3 linked regions of the Danio rerio genome follow. The protein of the gene in region 3 purifies or fractionates together with the protein of the main gene of each other region. This does not show direct contact. Links are inferred from orthologs where the notes say so. Each region holds a gene or a part of one and is shown on either strand. Other genes may lie near its edges.

Evidence for each region. The genes of interacting proteins can lie anywhere in the genome.
Region 1: the proteins of cltcb (region 3) and clta purify together in Homo sapiens (co-immunoprecipitation; 6 studies listed by BioGRID and IntAct, with this or other methods). This does not show direct contact. The link is inferred for Danio rerio from reciprocal best matches to the Homo sapiens genes CLTC and CLTA.
Region 2: the proteins of cltcb (region 3) and ptpn23a purify together in Homo sapiens (affinity purification with mass spectrometry; 3 studies listed by BioGRID and IntAct, with this or other methods). This does not show direct contact. The link is inferred for Danio rerio from reciprocal best matches to the Homo sapiens genes CLTC and PTPN23.

The regions. Positions count from the first base shown.
Region 1 is NC_133176.1:13,757,596-13,762,377, reverse strand, and holds the end of clta (clathrin light chain A), read right to left. Parts: intron 2,628-4,782; coding exon 2,592-2,627; intron 1,565-2,591; coding exon 1,393-1,564; 3' UTR 851-1,392; downstream 1-850. UniProt on the Homo sapiens protein: Clathrin is the major protein of the polyhedral coat of coated pits and vesicles.
Region 2 is NC_133191.1:45,543,210-45,547,319, forward strand, and holds part of ptpn23a (tyrosine-protein phosphatase non-receptor type 23), read right to left. Parts: intron 2,868-4,110; coding exon 2,793-2,867; intron 2,640-2,792; coding exon 2,512-2,639; intron 582-2,511; coding exon 505-581; intron 371-504; coding exon 321-370; intron 1-320. UniProt on the Homo sapiens protein: Plays a role in sorting of endocytic ubiquitinated cargos into multivesicular bodies (MVBs) via its interaction with the ESCRT-I complex (endosomal sorting complex required for transport I), and possibly also other ESCRT complexes.
Region 3 is NC_133190.1:19,744,729-19,748,838, forward strand, and holds part of cltcb (clathrin heavy chain 1), read left to right. Parts: intron 1-1,426; coding exon 1,427-1,661; intron 1,662-1,774; coding exon 1,775-1,897; intron 1,898-3,586; coding exon 3,587-3,732; intron 3,733-3,820; coding exon 3,821-4,004; intron 4,005-4,110. UniProt on the Homo sapiens protein: Clathrin is the major protein of the polyhedral coat of coated pits and vesicles. Two different adapter protein complexes link the clathrin lattice either to the plasma membrane or to the trans-Golgi network.

The DNA of each region.
Region 1 (4,782 bases), on a different chromosome or scaffold from region 3:
ATTTATTGCCATACTACTGACAGCAGCAGCAGATAGTTCACCTCAGATCTTGAAAATAAACAGTTAAAAATATAATTTTAGAATTAAAACCAACACAAAGTAATTCAGCATCTACATTTCATAATGTTAAAGAGGTTTAATATGTATTAATTAATCATCCTCACCATTTCGTGAGTGAGTGCATATTCTGTGCTTCTGAATGGCTGGATTTAAATTTCTGTTGTTTCGTCTGGTGCAAACAGCCAAATTGCGTATCACTGCAAATCTCGTCACGTAGCATGTTGTTAGGACACAGGGTTACAGTGTAACCTGCTCACCTAATGCTTATGTTCATATTTTTATATTATTTGCTAAATAATAACCTCATGTGGAACTTTGAATCTGCGTCTCATTTAGGAGTCTGCTACTGTCCACCAGAGGTCACCTTTTGGTCACAGGCACATGCTCTGAGAGCCTTCCTGACTGAATGAATGAAATATTTGGTTTTCCACCGAGGCAACCCGGGGTGCTGAATTATAATTGGCTAAACTGGCAATGTGCAGGTTAAAAAACCCAAAACAAAGACAGTCGTTTTGGCACGTAATGAACATTTATAAAAGCAGAATATCTGACTTCAGCATTGTTTTTCAGATAAACAAGTATATTTACTTGGCATGTTTCTCAAATATCTGCAAACATATTATGGTATTTTGATGCTTTAGTAGAGTCAAAAATGTATATACAGCAACTTTAAAATTAAACCTACATTTCTTCACTTTAAGTAAAGGATTTTTAAGAAAACTTAAAGAAAAAGCAGATCTCACGATTTCCTCCAAACAGTGCAAATAAAATGGTGGCGACACACAAACACTTACCATTTCAAATGTGTTTAATCAAACTGAAACAGAATGGACAACATGAGTTAACGTTTACCGGGGTACAGCTCTGTTTAACAACAACAACAACAACTTGTGCCATAATCTCACAATGAAGTGTAGAAGACCAGTCTTTATGTACAGTCACACACACGCACACCATCTGTATACAACATACACAAGACGTCAGTACTGGATTCCCCAACAGATTCACGAGGGAAATGCATAGATCGATAGTGTCACAATGCCACACGCTGGCTCTACACGGCGAGGGGAAAAATAGGTGGAACATGGAGTTTGGTCCATAAAATAGACACCAAAAATAAAAACATTGTTATATATATTTATGTATGCATGTATATATTTATAGATGAAATATTTATAGACATAACTATATCATATTACACATACATATAATATAATATAGATTATTCATATATGGAGCTCAAAGCCATTGGGATAGGGCCACAAAGGAAATCGATGTTGTGAAACCCAATGGTTGCTGGGATTGTTGGATTTTCGTTTACTTTGAAGCTGTTTAGCGGACGAGCGGAGCCTGTTTAAGAGAGATGAGCACTGAACGCATGCGGGACACATCCTTTGCCTGCTTGCTGGATTTAGGGTTGAAATCGCAAAGACGCGCCACACGTTCCCATTCTGTGCCAGGACTGTTTTCATCCAGCTCCGACACCATGGCTTCCTCAGCCGCCCTGCCGATGACAAACCAAAATCAGCTTCAGATAGACACGGGGAACACTCGCAGACCCGTCCTGCTTGAGCGCAGCACCGCTGACCTCCTTCAAAGCCTCCAGAACTTCAAACGATCAATTTCCAAAGAACTCAGTAAGGAGTTGTCTAAAATCTGAAATGTTTCACCAGGAGCTTTTTGGTTAGGAGGTTAGAGGTGCGTGAGCCAAAAGCAGGAGCGTCCAGGTGCTTATTTTCCATCCATCGATACATTCAGAGACATTCTTCAAGTGACCACATCCAAAACAGATGGTAGTTTGAGCATCATGCCCCCAACCCACCATTACCAGAACTAGTCTCCATCTTGAAGGCAGGAAAAGGTTTCCAGAACAGCCATAATTAAAAAGTTTTGCAGCGATTCAGTCGGTTAAAACAATTGGTCGCACTTTGAATTAAGGGATGTTCCTCGTCTCTTGAGGGTCAGAGGAACGGCGTACGCTAATGAGCCTTCAATGTATCGATTGACAGGCCCATTGGCTTATTTTAACCACTAAATCTTTGCGCAAAGGCTGAACGTGCCATGCGTTTGGCAGTGACCAAAAGCGGGGCCTTCTGCTGAGCATGGGGGAGGGGAACTAAACCAAGTTTCTGGCAAGCCAAACACACTAAAGGTTTTTGAAACCATATTGGACTATTCCCGTTACCAACCCTTTCCGCTGCCGTGGACTCAGTCTAGTAGAGTTGCATTAGCCTCTCCACTATATATACACACACAGTATACACAGCAAAATGGGTATGAAAAGCCAATGAGGTAAATCACGGTCACAATCAATTACATCAACGCACAGGACTAGTGCACCAACACATCACCACAAAATGACATCCAGAATCTTAGAAACTTTAGAAGAGAAACATCTTGATGGTAATAAAGACAGCAATTCATTGGTGTATATCAATTTGCAGTCAGTGGCTTGTTTCCTGAGCATATTTGGATTTCTTGTCTTGTTTTAAGATTTTTTTGGTTATTGTCATTTTCTTTTTTTACTTAACTGGTCTAGGCGGTAGCAAGGATGGTTAATGTGAGTGCTTAAAGGTGCATAGAGAAAAGAAAAACAAGGAGAAACAGATCACAAGTCAGATATATAGAAAACCAAAAGAAATGAGATTTATGCAGATGACCAAAGCAGGCATGCACTGTTCAAAACCCAAGTCATCTTAGGGGTGTTGTTCTAAGTGCGCTTAGCTTGCAGCCGTCATTGAGGTGTGTGTGTGTGTGTGTGTGTGTGTGAGCCGCTTATATGGCATTCAGCAATCTCAACTGGCGCTTCAGTTGAGAGATGTTTACCAAGCAAAAAAGAAAAGCAGCTAGTGTTTGTGCTAGTTCTGCAGAATAGGCAGAAGCAGTAAGAGGTCTGTGATGAGCATGAGGGCTGCAGAACTAAGAGGACAGTTACAGTTCTAGCCTGGGACAGCTCTGCTCAACCTATGCACAACATACTTCTAAATAAAGAAAACTGTCTAACTGAAGCAACTAGGTGTCCGGCCGAAGTGCCAGTTATGAGATAAAAGGTGCACAAAGACTTTTTTAAATAACAATAATAATAACAACAAAACAATTTTAAATATACCTAAATGTATTAAAAATGTAATGTTAATGTAATTTCTATTAACCAAAATTTTGTAATAAATTGAAAACTAACTTTTATTACAAGCAGTTTTACATTTAACAATTAAAATTATGTTTTTATTATATAAATTTATATAAGTTATATACATTTCAATGTTAAATGTATAAAAGTTTCAATTTAAATTATAAACATAAAATTCAATACAATTATATATATTTTATGAAATTTGTCGTCATGATACAACTTTGCGTTCACAAAAAAAGTGGCAAGAGCGTCAAAGTCGCCGCAAGTCATTCGTTTTTGATGGGAGTTGCCGACGATAAGTGAGGAGGCGCATCTTCCCTGGTGTGGATGTAAAGGAGAGTTGGAACAAAGACTATAGAAAACACAAGACGCGTGACACAAGACGAGGAAAAGTGTAACGTCAATATGGCAAATAAAGCCCCGCCTTCTACTACAGTAGCCAATCAGTGATCTCTATAGACTGAGGATTCTCAGAGGGAGGGGCTCGGACCAGGTGTGACTTTCTGCAGATTTTATGTGATTCAAATGTTTAGAAATAAAAGTAAAGCGATAGTTGTTGTTTAATTTTAGTGGTTATTTGTAATATGAAATTTTATCATAAGCTTGGCGAGCAATTTTGGAGAACTTAACGTTTCCCTGTTTAAACACAAAGCCCAAACATTTCAAAGATGGCCGCCAAGTGAAATGACTTGCCTTAAAAAGACTTTGGTTGAAATCAAGTGAACTTCATGGTAAAGAGCTTTGACACTGTTCAGTGGCAACAAATCAAAATGTAGACAGACCGCTACAGAGAATTCAAGAGAACACAGTCATGTGAACTTTGGTTCCGACGACAATTGTTCCCATGGGTTTGATTGTCTCTGTCGCCAGATTTCTGATTGTTAACGATAATTTCTTACAGGAATTTACATTAAAACAACATTACTGGCGAGTTGGTGCATTAATGTTATTTTTTTTTTTCTTTAAAAAAGCGGAAATCTCATGCTATCTGTAATGACAATACAAAACAGTATTGCTGCTTCAAAATATTTCTGACATTAAGAAACATATTGAATAAGTAGAGCAAAGCCACACCACGTGCAACAACTTGATCTTCCAGTTATGTGAATTTGATAAAAGCATGTTTTTTATGCGGGAAGGTAACCGATTCGCTGCAGCGGACCCTTTAAATATGAGATCAACGCAGCGAATTTTGGCGCTCTTGCCAGTGGAGCAGTAAACCCAGACAGTGTTTGTCACCAGACCAAACTAAACGCTCTCACCGCATTCTGTGTGAACACACAGTTAATATATACAAATATACATTTTGCCATTTATAATTTGTCAAACTTGATTTAATGAGGTATACTTTTCGACTTTTGATCCAAAATTTGTACATTTATTTCATTTTGCACAGTTTTGACAGGATCTCTTCTACATTTTCCACATCACAGATATCTTAAAGCCCTAAAAGCAATTCAATTCAACAGTTTGTTTATAGAGAGAGCTTTTATAGTATATTCTAATAATAAACCCATTACTATTATTTATACTAAAAGAAAATAAAAGGCCTAGTGCACCTCTAAGACACCCAAAACACAAATATATCC
Region 2 (4,110 bases), on a different chromosome or scaffold from region 3:
GCCAACAGACCCAGCCAAGGCTTGAACTAGCGACCTTCTTGCTGTGAGGCAACAGCACTACCAACTGCGCCATTGCATGGCCATACCTCATATAATGCCAAACTATTTGTAGTTATTCATTATTTTTATCCATATATTAATAAAATTACATGTTATAGATTTTTTTAGTGAGATAAAATGACTTTAAATGACTTCTGAATTGCAAGAATTGTTACATGTACCACTTTCCTCTCAACACAGTGTGACTTACGGTCGGTTGCGACAGTAAATCACATGACATTTAAATTAGTCCATGCTGTGTCTTCTGTAGTTCAGCTCACCTCTTCGGACACCCTGTTGTCCATGGCTCCCAGCATTGAATGAAGTGCTCCTAGAGGCGTGAAAACATGACTTGAATCAGCAAAACAAGCCTGATTTTCAACAATACCCTTTTCTCAACCTCACAGGATTTATTTCACTCTCAGACAATGCGCTCATTGACGTATCGGTCTCATGCTAACTCACCCAAATTATAAAGGATGCAGGCCTGCTCATAGCAGATGTCCTCATGGGTCACCGTCTTCCCAGAAAATATCTCCGTCCTAAGATATAACAAAATTATCACATCATATACATAATCTCATATCCTGATAATGATAAATATCATAATATAAGATCATTTCAATCAATCAATCAATAGATTTATTATACTGACCACATGAAAAGAACTATTCACATACTGAGAAACGTACTCATTCCTGTGATCATATTTCTCACTTGAGGGCAAATATTTGATTAAAAATGTTGAAATTAGGGGCAACAATACAGACTTTAAATGTTTATGGTTTTCTTTTGCTTTTAGGGTCAGTATGGTATAGAATATATGTTCAGTAAAAAACAGGACAGTCAAATAAAAATCAAGAAAAGTCTATAAGCAAAATACAAAACAAAATGAATACAATATAGCAAAGATAAAGTGTTTTTCAGGTATCTAACAGTAGCTTTGAGTAACATATATAAAATGTATATGTGTATATGTATATATATATATATATATATATATATATATATATACTGTGTATATATACTGTGTGTATATATATATATATATATATATATATATATATATATATATATATATATATATATATATATATATATATATGTAATATATTATATTATATATATAAAGCACTTCAAAAAATGAATGATTTCAACATAAAAACAAAAATTATCGCTAAAAATACAACATGTAAACATGGCACCTTCAAGAATTCTTGCAACTTTCTCATGTGACATGCTGTCATTCACGTTTCTGTCTGCATTTTCGCACTGGTATATAATATTATGTTCATATAAATTATGAAAAATTATTAAGTGGAAGTCAGAATTATTACCCCCCCTGTTTAAAAGATTTTTTCGACACATTTCTAATCATAATAGTTTTAATAATTCTTTTCAAATAACTGATTTATTTTATCTTGATTTATTTTATTTAAAAGCTTATCTAGGTTTATTAGGTTAACTAGGCAGGTTAGGGTAATTAGGCAATCATTGTATAATGGTAATAAATGAAAAAATACAGCTTAAAGGGGCTAATAATTTTTGCCCTTAAAATAGTCTTTAAAAATTTTTAAAACCGCTTTTATTCTAGCCAAGATAAAACAAGACTTTTTCCAGAAGACAAAATATTATCAGACATACTGTGAAAATGTCCTTGCTCTGTTAAACACCATTTAAAGAAATATATATATAAAAAAAAGAAAAAAATTCAAAGAGGGGCTAATAATTCTGACTTCAACTGTATATAGTCATATTGCCGGTAAAAGTAAAGGCCTGTGCACATCAAGACGATTTTTGCACACACTTATCACCAACGCTTAACACCTTATGATTAAACAAGGATCATTAATGTGAGCATGCAAACCATTGTGCAAAAATCATGAGTAAAAAAAAATCAAGCCAGGCATAAAAGCATTTTAAAAATTCCTTGGATTTGTTATTTTTGGTTTGACAAGATGCATTTAAAACTGGTTGACCAATGAGATTGGCTCTTGGGAGAGAACACAAAAAACAACAACAATAAGCGTGAGAAAAAAATCATCCCGGTGTGCACAAGCCTTAAAAGTGAGCACTAAAAGTCAGTATTTGAGGAAGAAATAGAAATAATGTCTTTACATGCATACTCTTAGCCAAATTATGCTTAATAAGCTGTTCAATTAAACATTTTAAAGGGATAGTTCACCTAACAATGAAAATTCTGTCAACGTTTACTAACCCTCTGCTTGTTCCAAACCTTGAGTTTGGACAAAAATACCATGAAAGTCAATGACTGTATGAATGTTTTTTTTCCAAAGTTCTGTACATCTACAGTACCTTTGTGTTTAACAGAAAAAAAACTCAAACAGCTTTGGAACAAGTGAAGGTTGGGAAAACGGTTTTTAGATGCAAACAGGGGCGATGAGTTATTTCAATGCAAACTGATTTGTGCGAGTTGTCAGCATATTGAAGCGCATGGTTTGATGCCCTTACCAGGAAATAGGAACAGCAGCTTCCTGGCCCAATCCCAGAGGCACACGACTCTGAAGATAATGCAGCTGCCCGAAGTACTTCCTCAACGTACTGCAGCCCTCAAAGTCTCGTGTGACGTTTACAGCACTCTGGAAAGACGTGACAATGCGGAGAATTTAGGAATGCCAAGATCATAAACTTCTCTTAGTTGCTTAACTGGTAGAGCATGATGCTAGCAATGCCAAGGATATTTTCCAGGGAAGATGTACTTACTGATTAAAATGGTACACTGTAAGACTAACCTGTCTCAGCTGCTCCAGTTTCTTTAGCTGCTCATTGTAATTGTCAGGATCCTCACCATAGTTCTTCAGTATGAACTGGGAAAAGATAAAAAGCAAATGGCAGTTAAAGTTTAGCTGATAAGGATTTATCCGTTAGAGAAAGTGTTTCTATACTTGGCCAACCAATAAGATCATTAAATGAAATACAAATGTATTGGTAGTAAAAATATACAGGGCAATTGTAGGTAAAGCACAAAGACAACTAAATTAAATTTATTAAATAAGAATTAAACATAAAGCACATATCTTTATTGAAGATTGTTCCATCCTTTAAAATTAAAATGTCAGCTTTTTCCATCAAAAAACATGTTAGGCAACCTCAAGTAAAGAAAAATGTGCACCAAATGTCTTTTGTGCCGACTGCCATTTGCATTTTAAAAAGGAACAGGATTAATTGAGTTTTTATGTGACTTATGTGGTGATTTTGAATGTATTTGTGTTGCTTGTTTTTTGTGATAAGTGTGATGTGAACGCTGATGTAATTGTGTGGTGAATCTAAAGATAAATTTATACTTGGGAAAAATTCAGAAAGTAAAGTAATACAAATACATAATGAAATTAATATTATAACATTTGGTAAAATGTAATAACATTTGATACACATAAAAAAGCGCAAAACTTGTAATATTTATTTTTATTACATGCCATTATTTTTTTAAGGGCACCTATGATAACATTTTTTTACTTTTGTAAGCTGTTTAGACAGAACTGTGTTTGTGTGTATAGTGTGTCCTCTGTCATATTGGAGGGATATAAACCGAATAAGTCTTTTTTTTTTTTTTTTTTTTTAAATTTCCTGACGTTAAAATAGAATGCAATTTCCAGTGATTTTAAATTCTCACCGAAATGTGACGTATGAGTGCGGTTTTGCCCACCCATTGAATTGATTGGCAGGTGCCGTGTTTCTGTAATAACATATATACACATCCGCATTTTTTAGCAAATAAAATTGAATTCAATTATTTGTTCAAACTCTGTATGAGTTTTTTAAGTTTTATAAGTTTAAAACATTTTTAATACAGAGTATGTTTGTATTAAAGACAGTAAAATCGCTATGTAGTTCTTAAGTAGTTATATGTAGTTCTTGTGTGTGTGTGTGTGTGTGTGTGTGTGTGTGTGTGTGTGTGTGTGTGTGTACTGCAAATGGCATTTGTGTGTGACTCATCATTTCAGAAAGGCTTGAATAAGCTCAACCACAAATACATAAAATAAACTTACTTAGTATTTTTGACTAAGGAGCTGTATTTCAGTTTCATCCGTGTCTGTCTCTATCACTGAC
Region 3 (4,110 bases):
AAAGACTTTCTCCAGAAGAAAAAACATTATCAGACATACTGTAAAAATTTCCTTGCTATGTTAAATATAATATGGGAAATATTAAAATAGCAACAAAAATTCAAAGGGGGCTAATAATTCTGACTTTAAATGTATTTGCTTTTTTTCCTGTGAGCATGTGCGATTCATCATTAGATAAGAATACAGTTTCATGAATGGAATACACACAGTGTAAAATATTGATCTTTTTTTTTTCAATTCATATTTATTTCAATTCATCTTTATCTATAGTGCTTTTTTGATGTAGATTATGTAAAATATAGATGAAGTTCTGGTAAATTAAAATGGCTTCAGTTTAGTTGTCACAGTTGAAGTTCAGTGTGATGCAAAAGTCACTGTTGAAAGCACTGAAAACACTGAAGTGCAACTCTACCGGTGTGCAGCTCCACAAGTCCTAGCCAAGCAAATCAGAGCAAGAAAAAAACTGTCTCAGCTAGGCATAACCATGTCTCCTCTGGCCACAATAAACTTGTGACAACAACTTGTGACAACAAACTGCCATTTTGTGGTACAAGCCATTGAAATGAATTGGTTTCATAGTGCAGTGCTTTCTGCATCCAGTGTGAAAGCCACTTTAGACTGCATGGTGACTTGGCTGAAAGGAATGTGAAACCAGCCATCTGAACACCCCTGAACAGTTTGGCGCAGCGTAACCTTTTTTGGCATCATGATTTTAGCCATTTTTCTTTTTCAGCCAAAAACCGAGATAATTTACATAATGTTTTTATAGGAGGTATATAAATTAGGGCTGTCAGCATTCACATGTTGAAGGGATAGTTCACCCAAAGATGAAAATTCTGCCATCTGTTTATTCAATTTTTTTGTTCTGTTGTGCGTTCTTCAAAATTTTGTCTTTGTGTTCAACAGAACAAAAAGAAAACTCAAACAGGTTTGTAACCAGTCAAGGGTGAGTAAATGATGGTAGAATGTACATTTTTGGGAGAATTATCCCTTTAACACATTTATTCATCCTGTTAAAACAATCACAAATAATTGATGTAATTTACACAATTGAATTCACTTTTTTAGGTGGAAATAACTATTGTATCCCCTTAAAAAAATTATTTTAAGCCTCTAAACTTTCTGAAAGATCCCCAGTAAATGTTTCATTCAATCAGTTTAAAACAATAGGAATGTACAGAAAACCAATCTGATTATGTCAGCGATGGCAGAGAGAATGGTCACTTGTGGCCAGTTTTTGGTGAATAAGTCTTTTGAGTGCGTGTTTCAATTTAAAAACCCAAGCTCTGTCATTCTCTGTGATTCGTTTATGAAGGCACATCTCATTGTTTGCTGTTTATTTGGTTGACATTTGTCTGATTTGGCTGTTATCTGTCTGAATCTGCTCTGTTTTGGTTTTTTAATTGATTGTTTTGATCTCTGACAGACTGAAGCTGCTTCTGCCATGGCTGGAGGCCCGTATCCACGAGGGCTGTGAGGAACCTGCCACCCATAATGCCCTGGCTAAGATCTACATTGACAGCAACAACAACCCAGAGCGCTTCCTCCGTGAGAACCCCTACTACGATAGCCGCGTTGTGGGCAAGTACTGCGAGAAGAGGGACCCCCATCTGGCCTGTGTGGCTTATGAAAGGGGACAGTGTGACCAAGAGCTCATCCATGTAAGAAACAATGGGGCTTTTGTTCAATGTTTGTAGCAAAAAGAGCTGATACATTCAATGTCTAACATAAAGCAAATTGCTATAAGTGTTTTTTTTTTCTGTCAAATTCACAGGTTTGCAATGAGAACTCACTCTTCAAGAGTCTGTCCCGATACCTTGTGCGTCGTAAAGACCCCGAGCTGTGGGCTAGTGTGCTTCTGGAAGTCAACCCTTACAGGAGACCCCTTATCGACCAGGTGCAAATTAGAGAACAACATGAAAATCAAGACTAAATTTTGCTTACAGTCCATTTTACTACCTCAATGTCCTATTTTCTAGTTCAAAAGAAAAAAAATATATAAAAAATAATATATGATAATAAAATATGTGCAAAAAAGTAGGTGTTATGGTACTATATCAAAAAGGTTAAAGGGATAGTCCCAAAGATTAAGATTTACCCAACCATGTCAGCAGAAAAATAACTTTTAGCGTGTGTCAGTAAATCATTCACAATGATAAATTGAGTCCAGTTTTTATTTAAATTTATTTTAAAGGTCCTGTCAAGTGCTTTGAAATGTGCAAGTTGGTTTGACGTGTGACGTAATTTCAACTGAAACATGAAGACTGGGTTGTACATAGAGTAGCTCCTCCCCTTTAAAAAAAAAACAACTAATAGAGCTTTGCTTTTATCACAGCTCTGCCAGTAAGGGCAAGTATATATCGCTGCAGCCTGGAGACCTCCAAGTAGGAGGGATTGTACCGCAAGTAGGTTGGGTTACCTCTAAGTGGGAGGGACTTATACCACAAGTAGGTTGGGTTTAGGTGGTGTAGGTGCAGCAGATATTAACAAAACACATCAGGTTACTATGAGGTTGGGTTTAGGGTTGGGATGGGTGTTGATCAGGGGTGCCCAAACTCCGTTCTGGAGGGCCACACTGTGTCCGAAACTGCATACTTCCATACTATATAGTACGCTAAAGTCAGTATATGGAAGTAGTATGTTTGAATTCATAGCATTCTAAAACCAGTATGTGAGAAGTACCCGAATGACTTACTAATTCCAGCGAGATTCTGGAGTGCACATCCCATGCACTCTATTCATGATGGCAGTGTTGCGACTGACGCAGGCAGGTCAAGTGACCCTGACAAAATGGCGAATGTAGTATGTCCAAATTCCATTCATACTTTTCAAATTCATACTGTAAAGAATGAACTTTTCTAACGGCCGAGTAGTACGATTAAATTCAAATGCAGTTCCTACTGAGAAGTAGGCGGTTTTGGACGCAGCCCTAGTGTTCTGCGGAGTTTAACTCCAGCTTGCTTTAACACACCTGCCAGGAAGTATATCTAGTAAGAGCTTGATTAGCTGGTTCAGGTGTGTTTGATTAGGGTTGGAGCTTAACTCTCCAGGATAATGGCCCTACAGGAACGAGTTTGAACACCCCTGGTGTAGACGTTAATAAAACACAATCGGTTACTGAGGTTGGGTTTAGGGTTGGGGTAGTTGTAGACATTCATAAAACACAATATTGGACTCCATGTCATGTACAAGGCATTAAATAAATAAAAACTCCAGGTTCGTACTGCCCACTTGGAGCTAGCTCCGACTTCCGTTTATACCCTTCTCAGTTAGGGTGGTTAAGCTGAAATGCATCAAATGAAAAGCCAGCAAGAAGCATCTTGAAGGGGGCAGGACATGTCACATATTATAGAGTATTTGATTGGTCAGAAGATTTGATGTGAAACTATATAAGTTGATGTCAAATAAATCATTGATTCATTGAGGCTTTTTTGTTACCTTTTTGCATCACACTAGCTTATTGATATCCTTAAGACTAATATACTGATTGTAACATCAAAAACCCTTATTTTGATTTCAGGGGTACAATTTTGAGTTATAGTGTGAGAAAATACTTTAACCCAGCTTATTTCCATGTCCACCACAGGTTGTGCAGACTGCTCTTTCTGAGACTCAGGATCCTGAGGAAGTTTCTGTTACTGTCAAAGCTTTCATGACTGCTGACCTGCCTAATGAACTCATCGAGCTACTGGAGAAGATTGTCCTGGACAACTCCGTTTTTAGTGAACACAGGTAATTGTGAAAGGCAACTGAACATAAAATGGTTTTCTTATATGTTTTTGATGGTGTTAAATAGTGACTTTCCCATTATTTGTTCCAGGAATCTGCAGAACCTCCTCATCCTGACAGCCATCAAAGCTGACCGCACTCGTGTCATGGAGTACATCAACCGCCTCGACAACTACGATGCCCCTGACATCGCTAACATCGCCATTAGCAATGAGCTCTTCGAGGAGGCTTTTGCCATCTTCAGGAAGTTTGATGTAAACACATCTGCAGTGCAGGTGCGGTTCATGTTCTCATTTTTCATACTACAGGCTTGTTGAATTGCTTGATTCTGATTTTCAGATAAAAAGTAACGTCTTGACCACAACGAACATGCTTTTTGCA